Linked DNA regions of Neodiprion lecontei. Each later gene encodes a partner of the first gene's protein in a complex. Links are inferred from orthologs where the notes say so. Each region holds a gene or a part of one and is shown in the gene's direction. Other genes may lie near its edges.

Region 1 (3,990 bases):
TTACATTTTAATTAAATCCATTATTTCACGCGAAATGTCGAAAAAGATCGCAAGAGAAGGAATTTTCCGAATTAATTAACGATATTCGTATTAACTTCCACCCGCTGCTTGCAATGAAAATAGTCGGAAAACTGCCACCGACTATTTCAGTATAGGGCCACCTTATGTATTGCCTAACTGGTGATTATTACTGCCAAATATCGATTGAAAACTTACAGCGATTTTCAACAAATATGATATAAGAAACACGAAGCTATACGCAACTACCGGTGATTGCGTTATGTATTGAGCATGTAGCAATTTTCTCGTCGTAGAGTCAAAAAACCGAAAGTCTTTTTATAAATTTCTCTGCTGCTAGTCCAACGCTGTTTTTGATGTCATATTTTCTGCATTTTTGGGGGTCCGATTAATCTAGAAGGCATCAAACAAATCAATTTGAGACAAAAGATTTTTTGGTTCAAAAAGTAGGACTAACCTCTTTGGATTTTTTCAGTGGGAGTTTGTCTGACTTTGTAAAATAGTTGAATTACTTTTTCAGTGCACCATCTCGACTTAACTTTCCCAGACGAATCCATTGCGCAGTCTAGACACGCTGCCAGCTACGCATAAAAACTTACGGCTAAAGAACATGAATTTTGTACCGGGTTTTCAAAGAGATGTAAAAGCAAAATCACAAACTCACAGCTACAAAGTTCCAGTTCCAGTTTATCCAATGTGTCTTAGTTCTCGTACAAGTGTTCAGGTGTCAGTGTATTCATCTATAGACATGTAGACAGTCTGTGTTCAACAAGCTGCCAAGTAATATTAAAGTGAAAGACAAAGAGACTAGGAGGAAAAAGAAGTAAAATATACATCACTTCAAGCAAAATACGAAAAACGTTGTATGAGATAGTTATTTTTGTAGTTTGTGAGTACGGTTCAAGTTCTGTCCTACACACAGGTGCAATGTATGTACATACATACATCTGCAGGATACGATATGTATGATATTGTATTATTACTATTGCATGGAACCTGTATTACAATCAATAAATAAACAATACCCCTGTGTCCTCTTCGCATTTTCTCGACATAATTCAACGAGAGATTTGATATTCTCCATTTTTTCACACTTTCAATTAACAATCCTAGATTTTTTAACTCTTCGAATGAAAATGTAATTGAGATCCATTGACCTAATCACGTGGGTTTCAACGCGCGGCAATCAACCGTTGCGTCGGTATCTATTTTCATGAGCCAATTTTCCCGCCGACACGGCGTGAAGCTGCCGAATCAAGTCGCCGTCGTGTCGGAACCGTGCTTAGACAGTTGCCGTCGCCAGCAGGCACAGGCGCATTTCTTACGCTGCAGAGATAACAGTACATCCAAGAGATGAAGTATCACGAAGGTAATCCGCGAATGGTACGTGCGGACAGAGATGAATTCCCCTTTCGAATCACTGATCACCATAATATAACACAGTCAATATGTATACTGACAATTAATCTAAGTTCGCTAATGTTTATCGTCTGTTAGTTCTCAACCACCCACCAGCATTCCCCGTGATAAATGCACTCTACATTATCGACTACTTTCGATATCGACATTCGCTTACCAACGAAAATTAGTTCACGAACTTCTTCGTATCAGAGGGCGCTGGTAGGCGAAAAACGTTAGAAACGCACCTGTCAACTGTTTTGAGGGTGTAAACTGCAAAGTGTAAACTATCTAAAAGGCAGACTTGTTAAATTCATTTATATCCGTGATAAACTCGTACGGTAGAAGTTTTAAGAATTACGAAATGGATCCAGCGCTGTTAAGGGAGCGAGAGCTCTTCAAAAAGCGAGCCCTCACCACACCAACGTGAGTAAAACAACGCTGCGCGTTTCTAACCTGTAAATTAGTGAGAAACTGTGAATTAACCGCATTGCGAAGAATTGAAAAATATTGGAAGGCTCTGAAGTGCTTAGTTTAAGAAATAACCGCCTCTTAACACTTTCAGTGTAGAGAAAAAAAAGAGAGAACCCGAGAAGGAACCGATCCGTGATGAGCCGCCAAAAAAAAAGAGCAAGCCATTATCCTCCTCTGCCGCGCCGAAGTTGGACATGGTCAACTACAAGACCATGTCTGGCAGTTCGCAGTACAGATTCGGAGTCTTGGCAAAAATAGTTAAGCACATGAAGTCGCGGCATCAGGAGGGCGATGACCATCCTCTCACCCTCGACGAGATTTTAGACGAGACAAATCAGCTCGACGTCGGATCTAAGGTGATCCAAACATTTTGTAGAACTGCTTAAAAATACTTGCGATTATTTCAATCAAAAGATAAATCGTGCTAAAGCCAGAGCTTGCATTAAAATTCAACTATACTACCAGTAATTCTATTTACCATTCTTTATTCGTGCAGGTAAAACAATGGCTGCTGACAGAGTCGTTGATTAACAATCCAAAGATCGAAGTCTCTCCAGATGGAAGATTCTCCTTCAAAGCGATGTACAAAATAAAAGACAAGAAATCGTTACTCAGACTCTTGAAGCAGCAGGATCTTAAGGGACTCGGAGGCATCCTGCTTGAAGACATTCAGGAGAGTTTGCCGCATTGCGACAAAGCTCTGAAGGTAAATCGTTCTCCCTCAGGATATTAATGAGCTATTATTTTGGTGCAAATCGTGTTATTTTTTATCTTACTGATGCGCAGAGTCTCCAGAACGAAATACTCTTCATAACAAGACCTTTGGATAAGAAAAAGATAGTGTTCTACAACGACAAAACGGCCCAATTTATAGTCGACGATGAATTTCAAAAATTGTGGAGGGCTGTTGCAGTCGACGCAATGGACGATCAGAAGATCGATGAATACCTTGAGAAACAGGGAATTAGGTCGATGCAGGATCACGGACCAAAGAAGCCTGCACCCATTAAAAGGAAAAAACCAAACGCAAGGAAGAAGCAGTTCAAAAAACCACGAGACAACGAGCATTTGGCAGATGTTTTGGAAACCTACGACGACAATAAATGAAGCCGAAATTTAAAGACTTTATAGATAGATGGCTTAATCAAGGATTGTAAATATCGTTTGTATAAGAATAAATAAACAATGTGATTTATTATTGTTATCGTCTAAACTAGCTTGTAAGTACAAAATAAATATATATCTATAATATTTTGAACAATAACTAGTCCGCTTCATCTATATTTCAATTGCCATTTCTTTCCTCTCTCTGAATGAATATATTAAAGACCAATAAGCCTCTCGTCTTGCAATATTTAGTTACATCGGAAGTCTACCTAGTTGTATTCGCGACTACATAGGTATGATGATTGAACCGAAGTATATTGTAGCACAAAGTTTAAAAAATAACAAAGTATCAAACGACGATCGTTGATACTTTTTCCGCCACCATGGAATTCCATAGAAAGTGCATTTCAGACATGAGATTTCGAGGATTTTCGCGCAACTTTGCAATTTGCTTTCTATTTCTCACGGCCAAGTTGTGCGAAATGGAAAAAGCATGATTCGTGATTTGCATTGATATATTAGAACTGTTCAAAGTGTATTCAAAGATTAATCTGTTCTAACGCTTGTTAAACAATTTTCTCCTGATATCCACGTTATTCAATGCTTGATCCAATTACATGGGTTCGGATTGTTGTCTTAGCGCGCTGGATCATCGGGATTCAAGTTTCCGCAAGATCTTATTTGGTAGTGGCAATTAAAATACTCCAAAAGCGTAGTATTTGAGTACAATACGAATGATAGTAAAATTAACGACGGTAATTATATCGATCTTAAAGGCACTAAGTCAAGTCTTCAGCACCTTAGGGTATAATAATTTAACTTACGATTTACACAAATTATACAACCTTCAACCAGATTATTTTACAGCATTAATATAAATTGTAATAGTTGAAATATAACGACGAAAGCGTTTCAGCTCCACGGACATACAGGGTATCCCGTCGTAAATCATTCGTTACAATATCTCTAATTGTAAAACTAGAGTTGCTGTTG
Region 2 (5,289 bases), on another chromosome or scaffold:
TACCGTAAAAACCGCGTAATATGAAATCGTTTGTACGGAATGAAAAGTCTCTCATCAAATACTGCTTCGTCGATATGAAAGGAAAAGAAGAAACAATTTTTCACAGTAACTGCGAAAATCAGTTTCTTTTGCTTCAAGACTAAAACCCCTCAATACGGAATTGATAACGGCCTTCGAGTCTCAAGTGAGCTACTGAATGTATTGATTCTTTATTCAGAAATATATATATATATATTTTTTTTTGTAGTTCTGTAAAATAGGGTACAAGGGAGAGTAAAGTGAAATATATTACAATAGATATGATGTGGAGGGTCTTCGTTCAGTCATTGTGATAAAATTTTGGACTATACTGCGAAGAGTATACTGGTAGTCTTCGCTTGTCTGGGCTGATTCCTTCTCTCGCTGAGTAATACCGTCTTTCGATAACTTTGTCGAAAAATCGGCTCAGCTTCACCGAAGAACTCGAGCCTGCAGCCAAGGATCTGACTTGATGACAATCCTGACAATGATCAAAGAAATCTTTAATTTAAAAAATAAAATCAATTTCAACCCAATGAAACAAACATACACAATATTTGGCATCGACCGTTTGCCTTTTAATTTTATTACCAAGAATATTTCGTCCGCTCCACATTCCTCAGCAATTGTAGATGAACGTCGATGAACACTTGATCTCACTTCTGCGGCCAGATCAAACTTTGTTGCAATTACCAAAATTGGTATCTGGAAATAAAATTTCAGGTTTTGACTCTTGTGAGGTGATTTTAATTTTGATAATTGTCAAAACATTACTAATCTATGAATGAAATTTGTAAAACTATACTTTTTTGTAAGCAATTCTCAAGCCATCATTCAAAGTTGACAGATTCTCATTTCATCGGCTAAGCAGCCAATTAAAAAATAGTTACTTGTGTTGAACCGACGAACTGTTCGGGATCAAAGTCGTCGAAAGATTTAGACTTGGAATGGTTACCGTCCTTGTTTAGAACTTCCTGAAGCCACTTCTGGAGATTCTGCTGCGACTTTCTATTAGTCAGATCGTGAACCAAGATAATACCTGAAAATGAGAAAATTCTATTATAATCAGAACACAAGTTTATCACGTATATTTCTGAGATTCTTACACCGTACTTTGCATACCATTTGTCGGATTGTAAAACACAGATCTAGTATTTTGGTGATTCTGACTACCGCCGATGTCCCACAACTCTATAAAGTATCTTCTTTGATTCGGAGTGCCTTCTTTGTACTCATGCAGCTTTACTTCAACCGAACATCCTACTGTCCACGACGGATTCCCTATCGGTTGTTGATGGCATATTAAATGAGTCAGTGAGGTTTTTCCAACACCTGTAAAAATAAAAGGAAGACTTGCTTACAGACTGTTTATATAATAAGTAACAACAAAAGTGGATCAAAATATGCATGTACAGTGCATAGATGGGTAAATAACCTTAAAAACCTCGTGATTTCCCCATGAATAAATATATTCGTAACCAAATTAAATCTACGATTTATTGCCGGAGGAACGGTAAAGCGGCGATGCAAACGAAGAAAATATTAAATTAAGTGAATTGCGTATACGTGGTGATCGCGATCTGTGAACAGATTCTTTTAGCGAATGATCCGAAGAACGAAGAATGCCGTTAATGGGTAAGTGATAATTTAGCAGAGGATAATTATACCAGAATCTCCGACAACGATTATTTTGACCTTATCGATCGCTGCCATTTGTACAGTTACATTCGAATTCTGACTTGAATTTCCTGACAGCAACCGGCGGAGCGGAATCTAGGTACAGTTTTTGTTTGACAAGCTCCACCTCCCCGCCGAACGCGGCATCATAACCTCAAGTAACGACTCTAGCCATCGATGCACCCTGTGTTAAATTTCCGAAAAACTATGCAATTACGCGTTATTTATCCGTGATCGTACCACCGCTGGAACTGTTAATTAAGAATGCGGCAATATTCGTTAATTGGAGTTACAAATAGGCCGTCGAAATAAGAAGAACCGGGTTTTTCCGATAGTTGAAGGTTATAATATCGTTGTGATGGCGAATAAGTAGATAACGAATTGAATGTTTTTACACCTAAGAAATGCATAAGACCACATCAACGCCCTAAAAAAATCCCTCTCACTAACAGTCCGAGTAAATGGTGGGAATTATTGTATTCGAATTATTAGCAGAGAAATGAGTGGGGAGGAAAGATTTGTCACCGAAGTGCCTAGCAGTTTGAAACAACTAGCACGGCTTGTTGTTCGCGGTTTTTATACCATAGAGGATGCCTTAATCGTTGACATGCTGGTCAGAAATCCCTGTAAGTGTAAATCTATTTAATTTGGCATCGCTCATCCCAGCCAACTAAAAAGTTTCAACTGTAGTTTTGTTTGTATCCTTCTATCAGGTATGAAGGAGGACGACATATGCGAGCTGCTAAAATTCGAGCGAAAAATGTTGAGAGCTAGAATATCTACGCTAAGGAATGACAAATTCATTCAAGTTAGACTTAAGATGGAAACTGGATCTGATGGAAAGGCGCAGAAAGTGAACTACTATTTCATCAATTACAAGGTAAAAATTGTCTCAGATTTTCCCTCCAAAATGCCTGCTAAATTTTGAATTTTAATCTTAATCCTTTAGACTTTTGTCAACGTTGTCAAGTATAAGTTGGATCACATGCGTAAGAAAATGGAAACGGAAGAACGAGACGCGACCAGCAGAGCCAGCTTCAAGTGCACAAATTGTCTTAAGACTTTCACGGACCTTGAGGTGAATCTAGCGATAGACAAACGTCTTGATGGACACAATCACAATTTCAATTTTTTTTATGGCAAACAATATTTATTCACAGGCAGATCAACTCTTTGATATGACAACAGACGAGTTCCGATGTACTTATTGTCGGAACATCGTTGAGGAAGATCAATCTGCTCTTCCGAAAAAAGACTCCAGGCTACTTCTGGCAAAATTTAACGAACAATTAGAGCCACTCTACATTCTGCTGCGAGAAGTCGAGGGTATAAAATTGGCACCTGAAATTCTCGAGCCTGAACCTGTTGACATCAATACCATACGAGGGTTAGCAATAAAAATATAATTTTCACTCTTGTTGGACAGCTGCAAATGACAAGTCAACTTTATATTCGACTGACATTACAGCATCGATACGAGGAAGCAAACTGGGCTTCGTGCTCCGGGTGAACAATGGTCAGGAGAGGCGACGAGGTCGTCTGGATTTGCTGTCGAAGATACGAGAGTGGATGTTACCATCGGCGATGAATCGGCCAATGATAACACTGCCAATCGTAGAAAAGAGAGGCCGATTTGGATGATGGAAAGCACTGTGGTAAACACAGATGGATCGCAGGTGTGTAAATGATGATATTGTAGAGAATGTGAATTTGGCAACGAATTTGAGAAAGCTGAATTTGAGAAAGTTGTTTTTGTTATTTCAGACGGACGTGGTTGGAGGCCAAGACAGTATTCTTGATAAGGCTGCAACGAACGCGACAAATGCAACGAACGCAACGAATAAACAGGGCGAAGACATAATGTCGGTGCTACTGGCGCACGAGAAAAAAGGAGGGACTAATGCTGCCAATGCCATTAAGACTGTAATACCTCAAGAATCTAGCGACAGTAGCGATAATGAGGATGTTACAGAGATACAGGCTATCGATATGGGTAATTGCTGCAAGATGATTGTATTTCTCAGCTTTTTAAGATGCTTATTTGAGACTTATTTCTTTGAACGATTCAGGTGATGTAGAGACGATGGATTCAGAGGACGACGACTTGGTGCCCACGGTTAGTGTGGGAGGAAAAACAGTTTCAATTACAGATATCAATGACACTTTGATTGCCGATATGACGCCGGCAGAGAAAGAAGCTTACATTCAAACGTATCAAGAATATTATTCGCACATGTACGATTAGTCTGAAAACAGCTTGCGAGAGTTATATTTTTAAATTAAATTGTACGATGACTGTGAATTTACACACATATACGTGAAGTATGAGAATATTTTGTATAAGTATGAATATAATAAAAATCCATTGTTCACAGCTCCGTGTTTTGTAATTTGCCTTTAACAGCTGACTCGTGTGATACTGAGCTATAATTGCCATGAAAGACTGGTCAAATTTAAGAATTTATTAACATACTTGAAACCTAATATACAATAATATCAATCCAATAACATGTGGAATTAACGATACATTGATCAAGAAAATATATTGAATACGTGATAATAAATAACACTGAATTATTAACAATAATAGAACTAAAATAATTAATCAATAATAATACATGTCACTTCTGGTAAGAACGGGAAATGTCATTATTTATACTATATTAAATGTTTTTCTTTCCCTACCAACTTCTTATGTTATCACTGGATAATAAGTAAAACTTACTTGGGGATATCTTTTTTTTTGCTCGTCTATTTCAAAATTTTTGCTCGACCACCACAATCGAACCCAAATTTGGGGATGATAGAACAAGGATTTTCTGCATATTTTTCGTTTTTTTTTCTTTTTATCAGTTTTTTCGATAATTCAATAGGTAATAATTTTATCGTAAACAAGTTATTTGAGGTAACTTTATGTACATTATAACTTGACTTACGAGACTTGATATATCACTCTACAATTCGGTTTATAACTACTTACTTTTCATTGCTTGCTTTGAAAAGAACCCAAGCATCGCATAATATCACACAAGCAATGGCATCGCGCATCGTTTTTCCCCCTCAATAATTTTTCTTCACGTCCTATACATTAGATCATACAAAAATGTCATCGGCTTTCAGAATATTCGTGGTAACATCAACAAAATCTGATCAGATTTTCTGATTGTTGATACTTTTGAAAGGATTACATTTTCATACTTGCATTTCAAAATTCTTTCACTGTTACGCCAGGCAATTTGATATTTTGCCCTTACAAGCTGTCAACTCGAAAATGAGAATAGACGCATGATTAAAATAAAGACTTAACGATCTTCTATGACTCACTTGCAAACGTAAAATTGGTGCGACTAATTTCAACAATTGAATATTCATAGTGCGAAGTCGTCTACGATGCATATCCATTGCAAAAGTAGATAAATTTACATTCTTTTCATAGCATGTGCAGCGTATACTCCTCGGTGTTTTATTCTGGCTCGTTAAGACGCAAGCGAGCAAAGTCCTCAAAGACAATGTTGTCGTCGTCGTCATTGGCGTAGCAAGAGTTTTCATAGCGTGCACGATCGATGCTCTTGCTCTTCTTCAAAACTGCTTTCT
Region 3 (5,873 bases), on another chromosome or scaffold:
CTGGGCCCTGACCCTTACCAAGTAGTTACCACTGGAAAGTGTTAAAAGTCGTTCAACTGTTGTAAAAGAATGAAGTGAAAGTGTTTTTCTCTCTCAAAATCGTTCAGACCAATGATTCTGATTAAGTTAAGGCTGATCTCGAATCCTTCTGAAATCGCGCGTGTGGGGGAATCGGCAAATTATCAATCGCGTACGGCCGATGGATTTCATGAATGGATCGTACAATGACAGCTGGGGAAGGGCTGGATGGACGCAGGGAGGTGAGACACGAACATACGCGCGATAGACGTTAGTGGAACAGTTTTCGACAACTGATGGAATGACGGATGTTAGGTAGGCAGGGGTTGACAGCATTCGCGTACATACGTTACGTACATTACGTGCGAAACAGGGATAATCGGCTCAGGAAGGAAGCGTGACCGAGGAATCATGCGTTGGCCGAATGATGAGAGGAAAGAGTACTGTATTTTAGAATGAAATCCGAATAAAATGGTGGAAGCGATTGACGGAAGACCTAGCCCTGTGCGAAAAAAAGGATAGAACGGTCGCTGGAAGTAGGGTGAAATCGGTCGAGTAGAGCAGGGTGTACGGTTGCATAGATACGTGCATAAGCGTTTGGAAACATGTAAATGCGGATACGTGTATTTAACGGAGTATATCGTAGCTAAGGTGTAATATTTTTGTTTTCCGTGAGCGTATGCGTGGGTTTAGGTGTGCATGTCTGCGTTCGTTGATCATGTATCGTAGGCGATGGAAGTATAGCACAGCAGGGCTGTTTGCTCGGTAGAATAATATGATTCGTTTTATATCTACTTACTCTTCCGACGCCTCTGTCATGGTTCGAGCTGTCAAAGCCTTTACTCGATGCCCACTTTTTCCCAAATTTCACCATTTTCGTTGCATTGAAAATACATTCGACCGCGATTCTACCGTGTGAACTCTCTTTTTACTCCTTTGCTGTCTTTCTTTTTTTTTTAGGCTAGCGCCAACTACAGGAAGCGCCCCAATCCACCTCTGCCCCCCGAATAACCCCGCACGTCCCGCTTGCCCTCGACCGACGACCGACGACAAACCCCTCGCTCCGCCCCGCCCAGAGCCGAGCGATCCCTGGCTTATAACCCGTCGTCGTTGATCTACCCGCGCCGCGACGAGCCACGAGCGTCGTCGTTCCTTGTCTCCTTTCAGTTTTTACTTCCTCGGGAATACCGTCGACGTTTGGAAATACAGCGAATTTCACATTAATGTTAAACGAACAGTCCTCTCCGCCACATCGTTCATATTTTCCGTTTATTTATTCTTATAGAAGAACGCGTATACATGTATAATAGCCATGCTCTCGATCGATGTGTATCCGTTTGTCACCACGCTATAGGAATTAATAATTGTTATCAGGATGCAGCTGCAGATGATGTTCGCTATGAGTCTCGAGCAGAATCAACCTCGCCATACTTGGCGAATTATTTATATTTATTTATTTATCTTGTATTCTTCCTTTCGTTTTCTTCTTTTGGTTTAATAACACCTGGATGAATGAATAGGACCCGCGCTACGAGCCCATTCATCGGCTCGCATTCACACGAGGATCGCGCGGGTCGGTTTATGCTTATACTGTATGCGATGGTCAATGGTGTGCGATCCCATCGCACACTGCACAATAGAACAGTAGGGGTTAGTAAAAGCATGGATAGAAGGGTTTGCTGCAGTTCGACGTGCTCCGTAGAAGAAAACTGCCATCTGTTCCCGCGAGAGGCGGGCCTAGTTCTGTTTGGTTCATTCCTTAGTTCCTGAAGCTAAATACTGCAGAATATTGGTCGTTTACTGACATAGTTACCTACCATGGACCTTAAGAATTAGTTCCAAAAATGTTGGGTACTCCAGCATGTAGGAAAATTAGCCCTAAGAATTTTGATCAGTGCGACTGTCGTTCGTGCCGTTTGGTTGGTAATAGGACGTTCTCTGTTTTTATCTAATCCAGGAGCTAGAAGAAGACAAAACATTTCTGTCGGTATGTCTGTGTATGGATAAGTACTGAACTGTAACTGTGAGGCTGCTATCTGTGATTGAATATGAGTAACCTATGTCAGGAATTCACCCACTGATCCCTATTCGGTGAATTTATGCCAACGGCTGACCGAGACGTCGAACGGAGTATAAAATATAAAAATATAGGTTATGCTGTTTCCACGGCCGTTTGAACGATAAAAGGTTGTACCCATTCAGTAGCCCAGCGTGGCGGTTGTGTTTATAAAGTTGCAGAAAAGTAACCAAAACTGAGACGAGATGTGTGTGTTGACAGCCAAGAAAAGATCTGGAGTCTATTCATAAGCTTGTTAATAATAGTGGCAAAGACTTGATGCGAACATGTCAAACACGATAAGTGGTAAGAATTTATTGCGTCCAACTGGGCTGCAGTGCAAAGATCTTCATGAATATCTAAAGACTCGGCCGCCAGAAACGTTGAATAAACTGTATCACAACCCTCCGATTTGTCTGGCCGTTTTTCGGGAATTGCCTGAAATAGCCAGGCATTATGTTATGCGGTTGCTGTTCGTTGAACAGCCCGTACCTCAGGCAGTCATAGCTTCATGGTGTTCAAAGTTACATACCGATGAGCATCAGAAGGTCGTCAAAATTCTCAATGAGCTGAATATCTGGAAGGAAGCATCAATCCCCGGTGGTCTACCTGGGTGGATTTTGAATTCAACGTTGAAGAAGAATTTGAAAATAGTTTTACTTGGTGGCGGTAAACCTTGGACGATGTCAAATCAGTTAGAAACCGATAATAAACCACGAGACGTCGCCTTCCTAGATACGTATGCCTTGGAAAGGTGGGAGTGTGTTCTCCATTACATGGTCGGATCTCAGCAGCAAGAAGGTGAGCCAGTTTATGCTGTCAAAATGATCTTAAAAGCTACAAATTGCAATAACTTATCAATTAATGTATGTAAATATTGAAATCTGAAAGAGTCACAAAATCTTTCCAAGGCGATATAAAAAATGCTCCAATGGCTAAGCCATGTACACAACCAGAAGCAAAACAATATATAGGATGGAGTACTTGCTAATACGACTGATTTTGATAGAGTAAACCCACAGAAAAATCAACCATTGAAATGTTCCATTACCTATCACAATTTACTAACAAGTTTGAGCATAGAGAATTAATATGGAACGAAAATGTGAATATTGGTTCTGAGGAGCCACGAAATCAGGAAAATTTGAATTTTGAATTTTTATAGCCAGCTTCAAATGATTTAACTTAGGAATATCGGCTGATGCGGTAAGAATACTGCTACATGCTGGACTGATGAAACGTGATGAGGAAGACGGCAGCCCAGTCATTACACAAGCAGGATTTCAGTTTCTACTGCTAGATACAGCGTCCCAGGTAAGATATTCTGTCAATTATAAGATGGTTAAATTTTGGCTACTCAAAAGTCAAAACAAAAGTTGATTGCGTGTAGTGTTTGTGTAAAACCTTTCCTTACTTGAAAATGTAAATGTTGTGCATGGTTTACAATAGCAACTGATAGGCCAGTCATCAATTTATTGTTTACACTGTACAAATTAGCAGTCTTTCATGGTAATATAATATTCAGTTTATGACCACCATATACAAAGTGACTTGGGATTATCGCACCATAAGCTACCTGTGTATTCCTCGTACTATTGGTAGCCTAGGGGGCGATAGCTCTTTGTAACCCTGTGTATTCTTTATTTCACCATACGTTCCAAGGTACCAACTCGTAATACTAAGTAGCAATTAGCTATGATTTGACTACTTTTCAGGTCTGGTACTTCATTCTTCAATACTTGGACACTATAGAAGCCAGGGGTCTGGATCTGGTCGTTTGTCTAACCTTCTTGTTTCAATTGAATTTCTCGACATTGGGAAAAGATTACAGTACTGAAGGTATGTCAGAGGGACTATTGACATTTTTGCAGCACCTCAGAGAATTTGGTCTGGTCTATCAAAGAAAACGTAAGGCTGGAAGGTAATTATTTCAACAAACTGATGAATCTATTCCACATTCTATCTGCGTGTACATACTGAAAATACTTTATAAATATATTAAAATTGTAATACCGTATGTTTTATTTTCTTAGATTTTACCCTACCAGGCTAGCACTAAACATTGCCACAGGTCAAAATAAGCCTCTGTCAAGTGACTTAGAGAAGGAAGGATATATAGTCGTGGAAACCAATTACAGAGTTTACGCTTATACCAATTCTAATTTGCAAGTCGCTCTGCTTGGTCTCTTTTGTGAAATGCTTTACAGGTAAGCATGGAAAAAATTGTCTAAAGCAATATCAGTTTTTTTCACCTATTCAATTTCAGAAAACCAACTACTGATTTGTAATTTTGGCCGTTTTCAGGTTCCCAAACTTGGTTGTATCCATTTTAACAAGAGATTCAGTGAGGCAAGCTCTGAAGAGCGGCATTACAGCTGAACAAATCGTTGGGTATGTACGTAATAATATTGGTATACGCACATTATTCGATGTTTCATTAATGCCCCAATTCTAAAATCATTTCTTGTACAGATACCTACATCAGCATGCCCATCCTAAGATGATTGCCTTAGGACCACCAACTTTGCCCCCTACCATAGTGGATCAAATCAAGTTGTGGGAAAACGAAAGAAATAGATTTATATTTAGCGAGGGCGTTCTGTATAGTCAGTTTCTTTCACAGACTGACTTTGAAGTACTCAGAGATCACGCGCTCACCACCCAAGTTCTAATCTGGCAAAGCGAAAGGTAATGTTATTATATAAAATACAGAATAGGGATGTGGGCTTATTGTCTAACTTTGGTATAATTAATTTTCATTTATTCTTATTTGATATTAAACAACATAGTATATTCAAAATGAGATGATCATTCTTTCACCATTTTGTTTACAGAAAGCGGACTATGGTTGTCACAAAAGCGGGTCATGATGACGTCAAAAAGTTTTGGAAGCGTTATTCGAAAGGAAGCAGTTGATTTCAATTTTTGCTTTGCTTTGGGCATTGCTACCTGCTGGCGAATTCTTCATCTTTCAACTACAGTATGTCTCACATGTTCAGACTGTGTTAATATTATTTACTTCCTGAATGAGACTACTATTTTCACTTTTTGAGCACTTGTAGGTAAAGTGGTTGCAAAAGTCTGCCACCGATCACTCTGGAATAAAGCGGCGTTGGAGTAACAATAATGCTCTTGATGATAACTATAATTATGCCAGTCCTGATAAGAAGTTACAAAGACCTGGAAGCTAGTGGGATTACAGTGTCAATGATATAAATAATTTCTATGATAAAGGTTACGAAAATAAGGAAATAAATTTGATTAAATTTATCAATATTTGATGATCGTAATTTCCCAAATATTCTCACAGTCAATGTAGCAGAGAGCAAAATAATATTCTCTCATTCCTTACGGTCCAATAATTTTTTATAAAGATTAAGTAATTAATTGTACAAACGATCCTCCTGACGTGATTCCCAGTTCAAAGGATCCGCAGGAGGTTGATGTCAGCGTTGCGGTGCAGCCTTTGGTTTCGGCATTTTGCCCAATAATCCTTGTATTTCTTTCTTCTCGTCATAAGTTCTCCACAACTCGTATAAGTTAATTATGTACCTGGCAATCTCCTGAATCTTTTCCATATCCACATTCAACTCGGCAAACCATGACTTTAAATCTTTTTGCAGTATTACACAGGCAATTTGCAGGCAACCTATTCGTAGAAATATATTAAACAAAAGAAAAAATGAAGAAGAAAAACTGCACTAAACTGGTCAATGTTGATACATTATTATACTCCGTTCAGGGAGAGAACGATACACTTACGAAGCCAAACACGTCCAGTTCAGTCGGATTTCGCCTA
Region 4 (3,396 bases), on another chromosome or scaffold:
CCTCAAGGACAAGGATAACGTACGGTAAACAAACACGCCGGGTCGCCCCTCTTCAATCGACGATCTGCCAGCCGCAGCTTCTGTATCCAATAGTCTTATTCTCTCCACGAGACACAATCGAGTAAATAAACGGCACTGATCGGTCACGGCAATGAAACTACATGAAGAAAAGACACACACACAAGAGTCACGGTACGCGGAGATAAATAGTAACAACAAACACACGTGGGTTTTACAATATTTTGACTTGAATGGATATGTATTTGAGCGAGAAACTTTTGACACGCACCTTATTCATTCACGTTCATCGGATGTAACGAAAACCTGCATCACCACACAACATGAGACACACAAAAACCACTTGATCGGATGCACGATCACGAGTAAATGACCAAAGGAGCGCGAATAATATCCTCTATTTTCACTGCGCGAACGTACCGACTTAACCAATTCTTTGAAGAATAGATAGAAACGATAACAGTCACAGGACCGCGCGACACAACAAAACACCGGGAACTAAACGTAACGCGCACGCCGACCGCTCGACACGCTGCGTGCTGCTGCTGTTACTGGCTGCTGCTCCGTGGGCAGCCGGTCCTGCTCGGAGACTGTGGAGATACTCGACTAGTTGAGTCCTTTCAAAACTGTTTATCCGTTGCCCTACCGAGGGCCGACCGCCGGATCTCAGCCAATCGGGTGCGAGGACGCCGTCTGGCGGTGCAGCTGCTCTCCCGCCGGTTCAGCCGAACCGAATCCCATTGGCGGCGAGATTTGTTTTCTGTTATTGGATTCTTTTTCCTTTTCTGGTGTAACGCGTCTTCTTCTTCTCCTCTCGTTTGCACGCCTACGCTTATATTATCGCTATCGCAGGCTGAGAACAACACCGTGTCCCGCCAACACGCACGCTGTGATGGCACACTTCCTCGCTGCTCCGCGATTCGATCACTACTCTTTCTCTTTCTCTAAACCGCGCGAGATCCTGACAAGGAGGCGGGACGGCAGGGACGCCCGCCAGCGAGAGCCGCGGTATACTAGGCGGGAAAGGCGGGAACGCATCGCACGGTTGCCAACCCTGCAAATTCGACATGTCTGTCTTCGCGGTCAATCGTTCTCCAGAGATTTTCATTACGAATTCATTAAGGTTCGTTTTACCTGACGGAAAATGATAGAAAAATGGAGTACCATCTATATATATTTCGGATTTTTTGTTACTGTTCGATACTAAGTATTTCAATTGTCAAGCTGAATTATATCTTCAACATGATGTCGAGAATACCAAATCACCGAAAAACCTTTGCGAAGGATGCGACTTGACCAATTAATCAAACTGCATCGCCAAACTTTGAGGATAAGTGCTTGAAAAGCTTACTCTAACCTGCTGTCGGTTAGATTGATATCTAGGATAGGCAAATTACCAGATCTATAAAAATATCGAGGATATTGTATGAAAACAGTTCTCAACTACCCTCATTCAATTAATTCATACTTCCATGCTAATGTGGGTATTATTACCCAAAAACATGTTTATTGCAACAACCACTCGATCGGTAAGTGTCGGATGTGTCTTCGCTATTGTCTCACGCCATGCAATGCAATTGTGCGCGCCGATTTTAGCGCTTCTTGTGCATCGTGGATTGTCGGGGAACTAACCAGGTATAATATCGACATTACATTAGGTTAAGTAAGGTTACTTTAACACTTTTAAGCGTTCTAAACACAACGATTTTCGGAGACGAGCAGAAGGATCCGTAAGAAACGCATAAATATTGGCTTAATTATCTTGATTACCTCGTGATATGGACACTAGCAGTAAAGCGGAATCTGCGCCTAAGCAAGCTATGGTTTACATCTGCGGAGGTGAGCGATACTTTGCCTCAAACTTGGATCATCGAGGTTATGTTATGCATAGCTTTGTTTACCGATACGGCTACACGTGGGTCTGAATAAGAGTTTTTTTTTTAAGAACAAAAGTTATTGTAGCATCTTGTTTCAACTTCACAAGTAATCAATACAATCGCAACCTTAAACTTACTTGACACATGATTAAACATCACACAACGATCAAGCATCCTGTCTGTTTGGTTATTTATCAGTTTTCTCTGTTGTATCTTCTCTGGCTTATTCTTCTTTTCATTATTGTTTTACATCTCGTTTTCAGAATGTCACCACGACAACGAGATCCGTCCTAGAGATCCGATACGTTGCCGAGAATGTGGGTACAGGATAATGTACAAGAAACGCACCAAGCGACGTATCCTTTTCTATTGTTGTCTGCCTCACCAATTGTTTAATCAACTTATTGAACTTTGGCCTTCTTCTGTCAGATCAAAAAAAAATAGTTTACTATGAGTCCAATTTGGCATCACTTCGATTGAAAGATCAGCACTGATAGCAGCAGAGTTTTTTGACTTTCTTGGTTTTAAACTTCATCCACGTAAATGTTTTAACGCAACAACCTATAACACTAGGTTGCTTTCCGCTGAAATTCAACGCTATCTTTTCACTGACGAGTTCAGGGACTTTTCACATGTTTTCAAATTATTGTTACGATTAATAAATTCCCATACTACAACATCATTGTTCGATATCTTGCCAGCTGATGATTTCACCACTGACCTTATAAAATCAAAAATAAACTCACTACAAAAATTTGGAAAACACATCTCCTTTACATTCCTTAACACAATAATAATAAACAGTCGTCGTCTTCGATGCTCGATAGATGTGTTGTGACCAGCCACAAAACCCTGTACAAATTCTTAACAATAATGGAATTCTATGAAGATGATCATCGCGCCTCAATTTATTATATGTAATTACACTGCGATGAATTAATATTTGACCATTTTTTCTTGTATGTGAAATAAATGACATATATGTCAAAGAAATATATTTTAGCTTATTTAATACATCAAATTTTCTTACTTCTAAGCAACACAATTGAATACGTTTTTTACTTTGGTTGTAAATGAATTTAAAACTCGTTTGTCTTTTTTTCTTTTTATTTCTTTTAATTTCATTATTTTCATTTTTTTAGGCAATATACTTTCTTCATTTACAATAAATAAATTACACTTTTTTTTCATCTTTTTTTTCCTTTTTTGCATCAATAAAGTATATAAGAGTTCGTTAACAGATTTTTTGTTTAATTTACGCTGAATTACGGAAGAGGTTAGGTACAGAGAAGAAGGTAAAGGTGGAAGAGCAACGGAGCTTGTGAACAATCGGGAGCCTATGCGAATACATGTATAATTTTAATAATTGATAAAAGTTGGATTCTACCTATTTTAACTACGTATTATTTTATACATCTAGCTAATACCTATGTATGTATGTATAATGTTTATAAAATCCTACACTCCGGTCCCTCGATCTGATATCAACAGGCAAAAGCCA

The links.
Region 2: the proteins of transcription initiation factor IIE subunit beta (region 1) and general transcription factor IIE subunit 1 are in contact, whole or in part, in a crystal structure (PDB 5GPY), measured with the Homo sapiens proteins. The link is inferred for Neodiprion lecontei from reciprocal best matches to the Homo sapiens genes GTF2E2 and GTF2E1. Residues at the interface, in NP_002086.1 of Homo sapiens: Asp159, Gln160, Arg161, Gly162, Leu163, Gly164, Gly165, Leu167, Leu190, Val192, Asn193, Arg194, Pro195, Ile200, Phe202, Cys208, Gln209, Phe210, Ser211, Val212, Asp213, Glu215, Phe216, Gln217, Leu219, Trp220, Arg221, Val223, Thr224, Val225; in NP_005504.2 of Homo sapiens: Arg16, Lys19, Tyr20, Val21, Arg23, Gly24, Phe25, Tyr26, Ile28, Glu29, Leu32, Arg39, Leu51, Leu52, Lys53, Phe54, Asp55, Gln58, Gly68, Asp69, Lys70, Phe71, Lys73, Thr98, Asn101, Val102, Val103, Lys104, Tyr105, Lys106.
Region 3: transcription initiation factor IIE subunit beta (region 1) and general transcription factor IIH subunit 4 share a complex: the UniProt entries of both Homo sapiens proteins name them as parts of the TBP-based Pol II pre-initiation complex. The link is inferred for Neodiprion lecontei from reciprocal best matches to the Homo sapiens genes GTF2E2 and GTF2H4.
Region 4: transcription initiation factor IIE subunit beta (region 1) and DNA-directed RNA polymerases I, II, and III subunit RPABC4 share a complex: the UniProt entries of both Homo sapiens proteins name them as parts of the TBP-based Pol II pre-initiation complex. The link is inferred for Neodiprion lecontei from reciprocal best matches to the Homo sapiens genes GTF2E2 and POLR2K.

What each region holds. Positions count from the first base shown.
Region 1 is NC_060261.1:43,445,185-43,449,174, forward strand, and holds transcription initiation factor IIE subunit beta, read left to right. Parts: upstream 1-1,643; 5' UTR 1,644-1,780; coding exon 1,781-1,842; intron 1,843-1,981; coding exon 1,982-2,246; intron 2,247-2,386; coding exon 2,387-2,596; intron 2,597-2,676; coding exon 2,677-2,997; 3' UTR 2,998-3,473; downstream 3,474-3,990. UniProt on the Homo sapiens protein: Recruits TFIIH to the initiation complex and stimulates the RNA polymerase II C-terminal domain kinase and DNA-dependent ATPase activities of TFIIH. Both TFIIH and TFIIE are required for promoter clearance by RNA polymerase.
Region 2 is NC_060263.1:15,135,702-15,140,990, forward strand, and holds general transcription factor IIE subunit 1, read left to right. Parts: upstream 1-1,606; 5' UTR 1,607-1,621; coding exon 1,622-1,653; intron 1,654-1,685; coding exon of another isoform or gene 1,686-1,731; exon of another isoform or gene 1,732-2,185; intron 2,186-2,187; coding exon 2,188-2,321; intron 2,322-2,408; coding exon 2,409-2,575; intron 2,576-2,644; coding exon 2,645-2,773; intron 2,774-2,855; coding exon 2,856-3,082; intron 3,083-3,163; coding exon 3,164-3,371; intron 3,372-3,459; coding exon 3,460-3,688; intron 3,689-3,764; coding exon 3,765-3,940; 3' UTR 3,941-4,314; coding exon of another isoform or gene 4,315-4,345; 3' UTR 4,346-4,784; downstream 4,785-5,289. Other genes in the region: putative ATPase N2B, read right to left, coding at 4,315-4,345; rab-like protein 3, read right to left, coding at 320-499, 610-723, 909-1,057, 1,141-1,350, 1,686-1,731; arrestin homolog, read right to left, coding at 5,159-5,289.
Region 3 is NC_060264.1:26,469,262-26,475,134, forward strand, and holds general transcription factor IIH subunit 4, read left to right. Parts: upstream 1-1,829; 5' UTR 1,830-2,361; coding exon 2,362-2,875; intron 2,876-3,263; coding exon 3,264-3,388; intron 3,389-3,789; coding exon 3,790-3,995; intron 3,996-4,107; coding exon 4,108-4,281; intron 4,282-4,378; coding exon 4,379-4,465; coding exon of another isoform or gene 4,466-4,469; intron 4,470-4,546; coding exon 4,547-4,762; intron 4,763-4,908; coding exon 4,909-4,990; 3' UTR 4,991-5,350; downstream 5,351-5,873. Other genes in the region: sprouty-related, EVH1 domain-containing protein 1, read right to left, coding at 1-31, 818-837; cyclin-C, read right to left, coding at 5,521-5,723. UniProt on the Homo sapiens protein: Component of the general transcription and DNA repair factor IIH (TFIIH) core complex, which is involved in general and transcription-coupled nucleotide excision repair (NER) of damaged DNA and, when complexed to CAK, in RNA transcription by RNA polymerase II.
Region 4 is NC_060264.1:19,860,990-19,864,385, reverse strand, and holds DNA-directed RNA polymerases I, II, and III subunit RPABC4, read left to right. Parts: upstream 1-1,651; 5' UTR 1,652-1,796; coding exon 1,797-1,857; intron 1,858-2,158; coding exon 2,159-2,251; intron 2,252-2,699; coding exon 2,700-2,722; 3' UTR 2,723-2,888; downstream 2,889-3,396. UniProt on the Homo sapiens protein: DNA-dependent RNA polymerase catalyzes the transcription of DNA into RNA using the four ribonucleoside triphosphates as substrates.